Mus musculus: one gene and its partners. The protein of the gene in region 2 interacts with the protein of the main gene of each other region in a pairwise test. Links are inferred from orthologs where the notes say so. Each region holds a gene or a part of one and is shown on either strand. Other genes may lie near its edges.

Evidence for each region.
Region 1: the proteins of Pex5 (region 2) and Acot8 interact in binary tests that used the Homo sapiens proteins (3 or more experiments, as listed by UniProt). The link is inferred for Mus musculus from reciprocal best matches to the Homo sapiens genes PEX5 and ACOT8.
Region 3: the proteins of Pex5 (region 2) and Ech1 interact in a two-hybrid assay, tested with the Homo sapiens proteins (2 studies listed by BioGRID and IntAct, with this or other methods). The link is inferred for Mus musculus from reciprocal best matches to the Homo sapiens genes PEX5 and ECH1.

What each region holds. Positions count from the first base shown.
Region 1 is NC_000068.7:164,802,082-164,806,293, forward strand, and holds the start of Acot8 (acyl-coenzyme A thioesterase 8), read right to left. Parts: upstream 2,801-4,212; 5' UTR 2,737-2,800; coding exon 2,609-2,736; coding exon of another isoform or gene 2,606-2,608; intron 2,579-2,605; exon of another isoform or gene 2,506-2,578; coding exon of another isoform or gene 2,481-2,505; intron 1,053-2,480; coding exon 916-1,052; exon of another isoform or gene 1-915. Other genes in the region: Zswim3 (zinc finger SWIM domain-containing protein 3), read left to right, coding at 3,196-3,350. UniProt on the Homo sapiens protein: Catalyzes the hydrolysis of acyl-CoAs into free fatty acids and coenzyme A (CoASH), regulating their respective intracellular levels. Displays no strong substrate specificity with respect to the carboxylic acid moiety of Acyl-CoAs.
Region 2 is NC_000072.6:124,412,268-124,416,438, forward strand, and holds the start of Pex5 (peroxisomal targeting signal 1 receptor), read right to left. Parts: upstream 2,801-4,171; 5' UTR 2,706-2,800; intron 2,615-2,705; exon of another isoform or gene 2,500-2,614; intron 2,184-2,499; 5' UTR 2,167-2,183; coding exon 2,020-2,166; intron 1,776-2,019; coding exon 1,740-1,775; intron 1,435-1,739; coding exon 1,302-1,434; intron 1,134-1,301; coding exon 1,002-1,133; intron 1-1,001.
Region 3 is NC_000073.6:28,824,045-28,828,137, reverse strand, and holds the start of Ech1 (delta(3,5)-Delta(2,4)-dienoyl-CoA isomerase, mitochondrial precursor), read right to left. Parts: upstream 2,801-4,093; 5' UTR 2,778-2,800; coding exon 2,726-2,777; intron 2,265-2,725; coding exon 2,060-2,264; intron 1,954-2,059; coding exon 1,865-1,953; intron 1-1,864. UniProt on the Homo sapiens protein: Isomerization of 3-trans,5-cis-dienoyl-CoA to 2-trans,4-trans-dienoyl-CoA.

The DNA.
Region 1 (4,212 bases), on a different chromosome or scaffold from region 2:
CCTGCGTACCCACTGCCTCTTCAGACAGCAGGAGAGCAGCGTGGAACTCATTTAGGCATAGACATATACACATCTATCTCTCAAAAATAAGCAAATACATACATACATATACATATTTTTTATAAACGAAGGAAGGTTGGGTATGGTGGCAAAAGCCCTTAATCCCAGCTCTTGGGAGGCAGAGGCAGGCAGAAAGAATGAAGAAAGAACAGAGCCCGGCCTGAGGTCATAAAGGCTGAGGCCAGCCAGGCCTACACAATGAGACCCTATCTCAAAATCAAATCAACCAAGAAAGCTCCAGGGAAGACCCACTGAGAGCAGAGAAGCATTGGTCCACGTCATTCAACAGAATATGGAGCTGGAAAGATGGCTCAGTGGGTAAGAGCACAGACTGCTACTCCAGAGGTCCTGAGTTCAAATCTCGGCAACCACGTGGTGGCTCACAACCATCTGTAATGGGATCTGACGCCCTCTTCTGGAGTGTCTGAAGACAGCTACAGTGTATTCACATAATATAAAATAAATAATTTTTTAAAAGAGTTTTAAAAAGAAACAGAATATGCACTTAATGAGTCTCAGTGAGTGTGATATGGATGCAGGTTGTTTCCAGAGCCTGTCTCAGCCTCCCAAACTGTTGAGGTTGCAGACCTAAGCCAAGTGATGGGCTCCCTCCCTGCTTGTTCTGGTCCCTGAGATAGAACACAGACCCCTCCTGGTGCTAGCCAAGTGTGCTAGTACTAAGCTGCATGCTCTGCCCCTCAGGTACCTTTCAGGGAATCATCTCTCTCTCCCTTCTTCATCCTCCTCGCTAACTCTCCTCCTACCCTTGAGTTAGCCTTCAAAGCCAGGAAAGAAGAAGTAACCACTGGGCTACCAAGTGTGGCTGCAAGCAAGGCGCCAGGGTGCGGGGTTTACCTGCCCGGACAAAGTAGCAGTGCAGGGAGTGGACATGGACGTCTTCACTCACAGACTTGGCTGCAGCCACCAGGGCCTGGCCCATAATTTGACCCCCAAAGAGCCGCTGGGAGGTAGGTACCCAGTAATGCCTTCCTCTGTGGAGAGAGGAAAGTGGAAAAGACTTGAGGGGCGCTGTGAACTCCGTAAGCCTCCAGTAAAGGGTTTAAGGTTACTTGGGTCCTTTTTCAGAACCCGAGGGAGGCCAACGAGTCTGCTCTCGAATCTCTTACATCACCGCACAAATCTTTCGTCCACGCATCTACCCAAGCTTTCTGTGGACTTCAAACAGAACATAAGCGCGAGCTCCCTCGTTTACAGCAAGAGTACAGGAAGCATGTCCACACAGTTCAACCCTTACCAACCCTGGGAGGTCTCAAGTCCACAGCTTCCCCGCCCCAAACCAGGGAAAGGGAGAGGCCAGAAGTTTGTTGAGGCCTTGAACAGACATGAGGAACTCCAAAAAAAACAGATCTGGGACTGGGTTGTGTGGATGAAGGCTTGCTGCTGGCACTCCTTAACCATGACAAGGCAGCTCTTCCAGGAACTAGTTTCAGAGCTAAAAGGACTTCAAGACTTCCCATATAACTCCCTTAAAAAAAAAAAAAAAAAAAAAAAAAAAAAAACAGTCTGAGGTTGTGAAACTGAATGCAGATTAATCTAGCCGAAATCAGAGGCGCTGCCGGCTACCTGCAGATTAATCTAGGTGAAAGGGCTTGCCCAGTGCTGGAGCCTGAACCCTGAGTCCTAGCACTCAACCCTGAGATTGTCAGTTTTTTCTTTACAGAACAATTTGAAAAGCGCTCCTGGCCCAAGACAGTAATTACCTAGCTGGAAGAACGATAGCTTCTGATAAAGTCGTAAGGGCTGCATGGGTCAGAACTGTCACTGAACAGGCATGGTGGTACACACCTTTGAGCCCAGGATTTGGGAGGCAGAGATACACTGGCCTCTGTGAGCTCAAGGCCAGCCAGGTCTACACAGAGTTCCAGGTTAGCCAGGGAGGGCTATACAGAAAGCCTGTCTCAAAACAAAACAAGACAACCAGCTAGACCTGGTGGTGAACTCCTGCCAGCGCTTAAGAGACAAATGAAGGTGGATCCCTGTGGGTTCCAAGCCAACTTGCTGTGTATATATATATACTCTCTCTCTCATTCTCTCCCTCTCCATTCATATATATATAGTGAATTCCAGGTCATCCAGGACTATATTTAGTGACATCTTGTCTCTAAACAAAACAAAAAAATTGTTACAAACCCACTTCAGTGAAAGATAAGTAATGACTTACCAGACATTAAGGGATGGCTTGAACAAACGAACACACACGCACACTCAGTCTACCAGATTAAGCTGCCTTGTGGGGTAGCGGAGTCTCTGTCCCCTCTCTCCCTCTCTCCCTCTCTCCCTCTCTCCCTCTCTCTCTCTCTCTCTCTCTCACACACACACACACACACACACACACCTTCCCCCCCCACCCCCCAGATCGCCTCCTGAAGAGGAAGCAAGGATGGATGCCAGGGACATGCCTTCTAACTGCAGCAGAGCTTGCATCCAACTCTTAACCCCAGAACTGAGGTTCACAGGGAGATGGCAGTAATCGCGACTCTATACTGAAAGAGGGGTGCGAGCCTAGTTCAGAGGCGCTACCGGCTACCTGTAGAGATCTTCATCTAGCGGCTCGAGGTTGAGCACGCTCGTGACCAGCACACTACGGAGGTCCCCGGAAAGGTCGCCGCGGTCGGCGTCGCCATGAGCATCTCCCAGACCCTCTGGCGCTGACATTTTCACTGCTGGCTGCGGTTGAGAGAAACGCGGAAACTTATATAGGCTCCCAGCGCTTCCGGAAGGTCGCTCCAGGGGCCGGAAATCCCAAGGGCTCCGGGGAGCGAGACGCAGATTGTGATTGGTCGATGTGCTTGTCAATTTCAGAGTGGGCGCGGCTAGCTCTATCTTAAGATTGGAGGATATTTGTGTCAGTTTTGGACATCCGCGTGTGATTGGGTGAATCAGCGAGGGGGCGGAGCCTTGGAGATGAATAATAAGGGATGAGCGTCTTTCCTCTTCTGTCACTGAGCAAAGTCGCCCCTAGGTTGCTGTTACCGGTCTCCTCCTGTTCTGGGCTCCTCCCAAGCGCCCTGTAAGCCACTCACTCGGGACCGCAGCTGGGCCCGTGCCAGCCGTTACCCAGTGACCTCTGACCCCTGCCGTGGTTCTAGGTTCTAGGAGGGCCAGTCCCCGGCCATGGAGCTAGGCAGCTGCTTTAAGACCTACGAGGACTTCAAGGAGTGTTTCAGCGCCTACAAAAAGGAGACCAGGTGCTCCTTCATTGTCAGGGACTGCATCTCCGTCCGCTTCCATAACCTCAACAACGGCACCTCTTTCCGCGAGGATATCCTGTAAGGGCGGGGCAGGAGGGTGGGGAGGAGGGCTGCCTGGAGGAGGAGGGCGTGCATGGAGGAGCCACGTTCCCCGTGCCTGCGGAAAAACGAGGGAAACCTCACCGGCGTGGCCTTTGCTACCCGCCGCGCTTGCTCCCACTCCTTCATTCACGAGCTTTCCTGGGAATTCGCAGTAACTGCATCTTGTTGTTTTTCCGTTTTATTTGTTTGTTGAGAGAATCTATCTCAAGCGCAAGGCTGGTTGAGGAGTGAATTGAAACGCCTTAGTAATAATTTCCTCCATTAGCCTCCTCTTTACAAAGCAGTAATGGTGCTCATTGGTTGGTTGGTTGGTTCTTTTCGGTGATTGATTTTGTAAATGATTCTTGAGCTCCAGATACAGCCGTTTTCAAACACCTTCCTTATCCAAGGTGGTGCTCCCTGAGTGCCTTTCTTACTCTGCAGGGCTGTGTGTCAGAATTATTGGTGGTAGCTCCCTGACTCATTTGACTTTAGGGGCTAAAAGCTGATGAAAACGCCAGGGCTTTTAGGGTTCAGGTGAAACAGCCTACTATAAATTTAGCTTTTAGTTTTTCTTTGAAAGAAAGAATAAGGGTGCAGGTTTAGAAGCCCAATGCGAAAAGGTTGAGGCCGGCGGGTCATGAGTTTGAGACAAATCAGTTTGGTTTAAAAAAAAAAATACAGGGAAAGGGGGTTGGTGGTGGAAGCCTTTAATCCCAGCACTCAGGAGGCAGAGGCAGGCAGATCTCTGTGAGTTCGACGCCAGTCTGGTCTACAGAGCAGCTTCCAGGACAGTCAGGGCTACACAGAGAAAACCTGTCTTGAAAAACCAAAGTGGGGAGTTGGGGGGCGGGAGGGA
Region 2 (4,171 bases):
TGCAGAGATAAGTAAACAACACATTCAATGCACTTAACACAGAGAAGCTGATATTATTTCTATTGTTACAGATGATCTTTACCCTCAAAGACCATCCATAAAGAAATTAGTTTCTAAAACCCATACAGATACAAAGTTCTGAAGACTGAAGTCTCTTACGTGAAATGATATATTTACATATAACCCACAAAAATCCTCCCATTATTCTGACATCTCTAGATGACTTATAATACCCTATATAATGTAAATGTTACATATATAGCAATTATATCAATTAGGAAATAGTGAATACACACACACACACACACACACACACACACACACACACACATGGCCAGGCATAGTGGTTCATACTTGTAGTCCCAACATTCAGGAGGCGAGGGCAGGAAGATCTCAGTTACACTGGAATTTGGAGGACAGTCTGGACTACAGAGATCCTGTCTAAAAACTCAAAGAGCATGTATACGTTTAGTGCAGACATACATTTTCCATTTTCTATCCACAGTTTGTTCAATCTACAAATGAAAAGCCAATATATATACAGGCAGCCTAGCCAGACTTCAGGGTTCTGAACTCCACAATCAATTTTCTCAGACCCCAGTCCTACTCAAGATGGTTGAATTGCCAGAGTCCTAGGTGCCGAGATGAATACTGCTCTCTTCCTGGGCTACCCATCCAATCTCTAGCTCCTCTCCACTAGACTTAAGCAGTCAAGTTACTGATAAAGAGGCAGATCTAATCTCTCATTCATATTCTCTCTCTCCCTCTCCACCCCCTCTCTTTTTTTTCCAACCAAACCCACTTTTCTCTTTATTATGTTTTGATTACCTACAATTGTTATAAGAAGTCACATTTAACATCCTACAGAAATGAATCAAGAAACTAGAAAAGTCATTAGTAGCGAAAATCACCTTCCATCCCAAGAGGAATCAGGACGCCCAGCAACACAGGACATGTAAATGCTCCCTAACAACTACTACAGATGTCCCCACAAGCCTCACCTGTAACTTCGGCGATGAATTCTTGGGACCAGTCGGTCTCATTATAATCTTGAGCTACATCCACAGCATCTCCAGCTGCAAGAAACTCCTGGGCCCAATTCTCAGACAAGGCCAAATCTGCCACACCAGGGGCTTAAAAGAGACAAGAGAAGACTAAGAAAAAAAGAAAACAGGTTCCTTCACACTCACTCATGGGCAACACCTCCTTTTTCTCCTCAGCATCTCAGTCCCCCGATGCCAGCAAAACCCAAGGATGGAAGCCCTCTGGCCTCTTCCCGTCTTACCAGGCCCTGAACCCACCTCTCTGAGGAGCCTGGCGAAAGTTTGACTGTTCAATCTCCTGCATCTCTGCCAGGAGGTCATCCATCTTGAAGGTCTGAGGGGCTCGGGATACAAGAGTTGCATTCTGGTCCTGCAGGAATTCTGACACCAACTATTACAGAGAGATGGTCGGATGAACATTAGGATCAGAGGGCCTCAGCCAGAGGCAGGGCCCACTGATGTTGGACAGAGAAACGAAAACTGGAGATAAATAAAGAAAAAAAAAAATCTATCTGTAAATTTGGAAACCAGAAAAATACCCCAAAAAGTAGACGAAAACATTGGCAGGCAATCTCATTTGGTAAAGAGAGTTCAAAGACTGAAGTATGAGTGGACTGATTTAAAAAAAAAAAAAAATCACCACAACCCCCCCCCCCAAAAAAAAAAAAAGACAGAAAAGAAACTTGCTCTGTTTACCTCGTCTTCAGTTCCTACTCCCAAAGGCTTGGAAACCTAAGATAAGAAGGAAAGAGACAATAGCAGGCTACAACCCAACTCTAACTCTACTGCTTAGGTGGCCTGAGGCAAGTCAAGAGCCTTCACAAAGCCTCAGCTTCTTTGTCTATAAAATAGTAGTCCTTGTCTGTGTAAAGCCGCACAAGGCTCACTCCAGTGTTACTGAATGGTGACTGCTATTACTTTAACACAGAGAAAGCAGCTGTCAGGTGGAAGAAATAGGCTCTCCTAGAACACTCACGGTCTCTGCTGCTGAGGCTCCCGGAGGCCAGGGGCCAGGCCTCAGTCCCTCCTGCCGAAGGGCCTTGTCCTGGGTGAAATGGGTGGCCAGCTTCATCAGCGGGTTGGCACCCCCACATTCGCCCTCCACCAGCTCCCGCATTGCCATGGTGACCAGCAGCTTCCCTGATGGACAGAAGATTAGAACTGTGGTCGGGAAGCCAGACTTTCCCAACGCACGCCTCAGGCCCTATCTAGAGCAGATGGGCCCACGACGGCTCCACAAGGGCCAGGCCCCCGGGGCCACCCCCCGAGGTGTGTCTGGAGTCCAAGAGGAGGCTGTGTCCTGCCTTCCCACTCGAAACGCTGCTTTCGGCTCGGGCTTCCCCTCCAGCGGACGGCAGCTCAGACACCACCCGCCAACAGCAGCTCTACAAAAGGGCCTGGACCCCTGGGGAGCACGGGGAGCGCATCATAAACACGGCTAGACCCGAACTCTAACCTGACGAGGGACAGCGGGGACGCCTTCCACCGTACACCGGGACCCACACCCCCGGTCAGGCGCCAGCTGCGGGTCCCGATCCCAGCTCGTGTCACCTGAGCCCCCTCCCCGGCCGCGCCCGTCCCCGCCCAGCGCCCCGCGCCCCCAGCCCCGTCGCCCCAGCCTCGACCCCGTCCCACGAGGCCACCGCAGCGGCGGGGACTTACGGGCCTCGACCCCGCGCCCCCAGGCTCCAATGCTCGCCGTCGCGGGCCGCACCGTCCGACCGGCCGAGGCACCCGGAGTGGGCTGGGGGAAGGGAGGGGGCGGGAGCAAGGGGGCGGGACTCGGCCTTAAAGGGGCCGGGACGGCGGCGCTGCGGCCCAGCTCAACGGAAACGGGTAAAGGGGCGGGGCCTCAAGCTTGCGCAGCGTGATGGGCGGAGCCGAGATCCTTAAAGGAGACAGTCCTGGACAGTTGGATTGGGGAAACCTGCAGTAGTCCCTAGAACGCCAGGATTTATTAGTGGAAAACTCAGAGGACTGGAGCTAGAAGAGGCCTCTCTGGCTTTGGAGAAAAACCAAGGTTTCAGGTTCCACGGTTCAGCTCTCTTTCCTGGTTCTCCTGCACCTCTAAATCGCCCAAACTGAGCCCGGGAGATTTCGGAGGTCAAATCTATGACCTGCTTCGGCCTCCTAGGCCTGACCCCCCTTCCAACAGACGCTCCTTCAGGACAGCGTCACAGCCTCCAAGGAGACAGGGGCCTGCCTCTACCATCTCTGCGTAATGAAGAAAATAGCTCCGGATGATGACAAATTCTGGTGACTAAAATAGGGTCCAACGCATTTTGAGACCTCAATCCTGTAATGGATGGGGAGAGTGCTGTGAGTCACTCCTCTCTCCTCTTTCCTACTGGTCAAGGTCACGATGGCCTGATTCCCTGCAGCTCCAAGTTGGGGAAACGTGGCAAGGAATACCTTTGATCAGGGAATATGAACCTAAGCCTCAGGCTCCACCATCTGCCAGAGAAATGGCTCGGGTGCCAGACCTCAAGGTCACACTGGAAAGCAAACCTTGATAGCTCACCTAGGTCCAAGACCGACGGACTCCTTGACGTCCTGAGAAGGGGAGGGGTTCAGAGTGCTGGTAGGTGGGCTAGGAGGAAACTGGTTCTAGAAAGGCCTGACGTACGTCCCAACCCGGGGTGCGGGAGAAGCAGGTAGTCTGTAGGTGGCGCCCTGGGGCAGGCTTGGTTCTTTGCTGCCCTGATGATTTCAAAGGTAGCCTTCCTCAGGGAACACAGGCAGTGTAAATTCGTCCCTGGGAAAATAGAAATTGCCCTTATAACTGCAGTGGTTGAACAAGGCAGAATATTGTGCAATGTTTCTGTCTTTAGTACACTGTCAGTATCTTTCAGAGGCCCTAACACACACACATACACCCATTCTCCTTGACCACAAATTTCATCCCTGTCCACTGTTTCCAGGCTGCCATTGTAAAGAAAAAAACACCTAGCAACGAATAAACTAAACCACACCAAGGAGGAAAGGATGCCATCTTGGAAGATGAATATGTTAAAACAGGAGAATCTCTGGAGAAAGCAGTGTTTAAGGAAAGCATATGATGGTTTGAATTTCTGGTCATGGGGAAATGGGAGAGCATCTCCCAGAAGCATTCAAAACGCATCACACAC
Region 3 (4,093 bases), on a different chromosome or scaffold from region 2:
ACAAAACACCTGAAGCAAAAATGATCACCGGGTGGGAGCTGGAGACATGGCTCGGGGGTAAGAGCACCAGCTGCTCTTCCAGAGGACCCGGGTTCAATTCCTAGCACCCACATGGCAGCTCACAACTGTCTCTAACTCCAGTTCCAGGCTATCTGACACCCTCACACAGGCACATAAAACACCAATGCACATAAAATAAAATTAAAAAAAAAATCATTGGGTGGGTTTCACAGCAGAACAGAAAATTGGGAAACAAGCCATGCTAAAGTGGAGAAGGGGTCAGGGGTCAGAGAGGAGAAAGGGTAGTGGAGTAACTTCCGTGCGTGTGTGTGTGTGTGTGTGTGTGTGTGTGTGTGCACGTGGGGGGGGGGGGGCAGGGGTAGGCAGAAGTCACTGCATGTAACACCCTTGGCTAGACACCCCTGTAGGTTTTGAAAGGTCCAGAGCCTCATTCAAGGTTACAGATCTACTGCGGTTAATCCAACTTCAGGATCCTAGCAGGTTCTGTTGAGCTAATTTCTATGCTTGAATTTGTGGTAGGGAGGGAATTCTGGGCTTTGAGCCAACTCCTGAGTACACACACCCACACACGGGTGAATGTTTTAAATTAGACTGAAAAAAAAAAAAAAAGAAAAAAAAAAAAAGCTGGGCATGGTGGTGCAAGCTGTTAAATCCCAGTGCCCAGGAGGCAGAGGCAGACAGATCTCTGTGTTCCAGGCCAGCCTGAACTTGGTCTACAGATCAAGTTCCGAGATAGCCAAGGCTACACAGAGAAACCCTGTCTCAGAAAACCAACCAAACAAAAACCCACTGAGGACTAATGGCGTAGCTCAACAGTTAAGAACCTATATACTTTTTAAAAAAGATTTATTTATTATTATATCTAAGTACACTGTAGCTGTCTTCAGATGCACCAGAAGAAGGCATGAGATTTCATTACAGATGGTTGTGAGCCAACACTGTCAAATTGATCACACCCAACCTGTTAGTCCAGCCCTAGGGGGATTTTTTTTTTTTTTTTTTTTTAAAGATTTATTTATTTATTATATGTAAGTACACTGTAGCTGTCTTCAGACACACCAGAAGAGGGCATCAGATCTTGTTACAGATGGTTGTGAGCCACCATGTGGTTGCTGGGATTTGAACTCCGGACCTTTGGAAGAGCAGTCGGGTGCTCTTACCCACTGAGCCATCTCACCAGCCCTAGGGGGATCTTATGTTACATATTATTATATAATCATAAGTCTTTAAAAAATAAATAAATAAAAATAAAAACTTTCATTGAGAACCACTATGGAGCCAGCAAGATGGCTCAGCAGGAAAAGGAGTTTGAAGGCTTGCAGGCGAGCAGGACCAGCATCCAGGTCCACTTGATCATGGGGAAGGATAGAACCAGCTTCCAAAAGCCGTCATCTAACTTTTGCACACGTGTGCATGCACGCGCACACAAAAATAAAAGTAACTTTTTCTTTTTGGTTTTTCTAGACAGGATTCCTCCGTGCAGCCCTGGCTGTCCTAGATCTGGCTCTGTCATCCAGGATGGCCGTGAACTCCCAGAGAGCCACTGGCCTCTGCCACTCCAGTGCTGGGACTAAGGGCACATGCCACCGGCCCAGTATTTTTGTTTCCTTCTAGAAACAAAAGGAGGCCAAAGCATTGAGTCATGTTTACAATCCCAGCATCAACATTTAGGAAGCTGAGGCAGGAGGATTACTTCAACTTCTAGAGTAGCCTAGTCTAAATAGAGAGTTCCAGGCCAGCCAGGGGAGGGAAAAAAAAAAAGAGTAAGTGACAAAATCAGCAAAGAAAACTGCTAGCATGGCTGCCCCAGCAGGGGGAGAGGCGCCAGCAGGCAGACAAGTACCTGAAGTGAACATCTTTCCTGCACCGGAGACTACAACAGCCCGGCAGTCCGAGTCTTTGGATATCTTTTGGAAGCATTCCACCAACTCCCTGCAGAGGCATAAGAAGTAAAGGGTTATATCTGGAGTGGGAAGCCCCTGTCCCTGCCCACCTCTGTCTCCTCTAGCAGATAGGCTTGTGGGCTTGCAGGCCAGACCTCCAGAAAGCCCTGTTCATGGCATTCCTCTTCTCTGGCCGGTTTAGCTGCACGTGGAGAACATGCTTCTGGGCACTTGTGACTTGAATAGACTCATAGTTGTGGTCTGAGACTTCCTCGGGGGCTCTCTTGGAGGCCTCTTGTGCAGAGGAGCTCAGAGATCGAAGGCTGATGTTGAAGTACAGCTGGCTGGTACCTCTCAGCTCTGGGGAGACAAGGAAGAGACTTTGAGAGCCTAGAATGGGGACATTTTAACAGTATATGCTCTTTAGGGGCGCTGGCATGACCAGACATAACTTTTAAGATTAGGGTATGCAAGCCAGGAGGTGGTTGGGAGGCAGCATTTGGAAGGCAGAAGCAGTCCGATCTCAGATCGAGGCCAGCCTAGTCTGCAGAGAGTTCCAGGATAGCCAGGCCTACACAGAGAAATCCTGTCTCGAAAAACCAAGTTTCAGTCTGAGACTACATTAGACCCTTGTTTGTGGAAATGACCCAAGATTGGGGACAAAGAATTCAGGTTGAAAGACAGACCTAAAAAATTATAATTTCATTTTAAATTACAAAAGGACTCCTGAGTTTAAAGCGACCCAGGCAGACTTCCCGTCTTATCGCCGCTATAACAAGACGACACAAAAACGAGCCCCCACGGATTAAGGGGTAACTCACGCTGCATCAGCAGGCCGCGGAGTTTACTGGAAACTGTCATCGCGGTAGCCATTTCTGGAGCTCCGGAGCTGTGCGACTTACTCCCGAAGAAAAACTTAGGGGGCGGGCACGAACGTTCGCCATGTTGGTCAAGGGCACCGAAGCCACCGCGGCCACCGCCCTTTAGCAGCGAGGTCCCACCTAGTTCGCCATCTTTACTAAGGGCAAACGAAAAAAAAAAGCACTCCTTCGTGTCTCATGTGTTTGGGACGTTGCTTAAACCTTTGGCCCAGTGGGACGCTGGCCTGAGAAAATATTTCACAGTGCTGTTGGAAAATTGTGTATAAAGTTCATCACAACGCTGTGTTGGAACAAAATGCAGACAACTGAAATAGTCAAGGACAGAAGGGCAGCAGTTTAGTTGCTAGGATACCGGCTGGCCAGAATTAAGCAGTTTTTATTCCCTTACCGCCAGAAGTTGGCTCCTGGACCAGGGAAGTTATACGGATTCAAGGTTACTGGACATTTAGAAGTGCGTAGGCAGGAGTAAATGGCTCTAACGCCACCCTCCTTTGTTTTGTGGTGCGAGGGGACTGAGGCAACATAGGCAAACATTTAACACCGAACATATCCCCAGGCTCTTCTCCCTGATTTATGTAAGGTCTATATAAAACCCCAGGCTTGCCTGTAACTTCAAGTATCCTCCACCTTTTGCCTCCTGAGAAGGGATCATCCTACACCCAGCCCCCGCAACAAAGACTCTGAAAAGAACCCAAGGAAGTTCAATGTGGTGCCTCATACCTTCAATCCTAGCACTCAAGAGACAGGGGCAGGGAAAGAAAAAAAAAAAAAAAAAAAAAAAAGGGAAAAAATCCGGGCAGGGTGGCGCATGCCTTTACTCCCAGCACTGGGGAGGCAGAGGCAGGCGGATTTCTGAGTTCCAGGACAGCCTGGTCTACAAAGTGAGTTCCAGGACAGCCAGGGCTACACAGAGAAACCCTGTCTCGAAAAACCAAAAAGACAGAGACAGAGACAGGGGCAGGTGGCAGATCTCTGCGAGTTCAAGACAAGCCTCTTCTACATAGCAAGTTCCATTACTATAGAGACCCTGTCTAAATAAATATAATAATATGCTGTTTGTTTCTAGACAATTTCTGTGTAGCTCTGGCTATCATGGAACTCTGTGAACCAGGCTGGCCTCGAATTTATAGAGATCTGTCACCTTCTACCTCCCCAGTGCTGGTATTCAAGGCATGTGCTACCACTACCACCTGGCAAAGGCTATATTTTCAAAACAGACATACCAAAAAAAAAAAAAAAAAAAAGCCTGAGAAAGTATTACCCAAGAGCATAAAATACCGTCTAAGTGTGCTCCTTAGGGAGATGTTT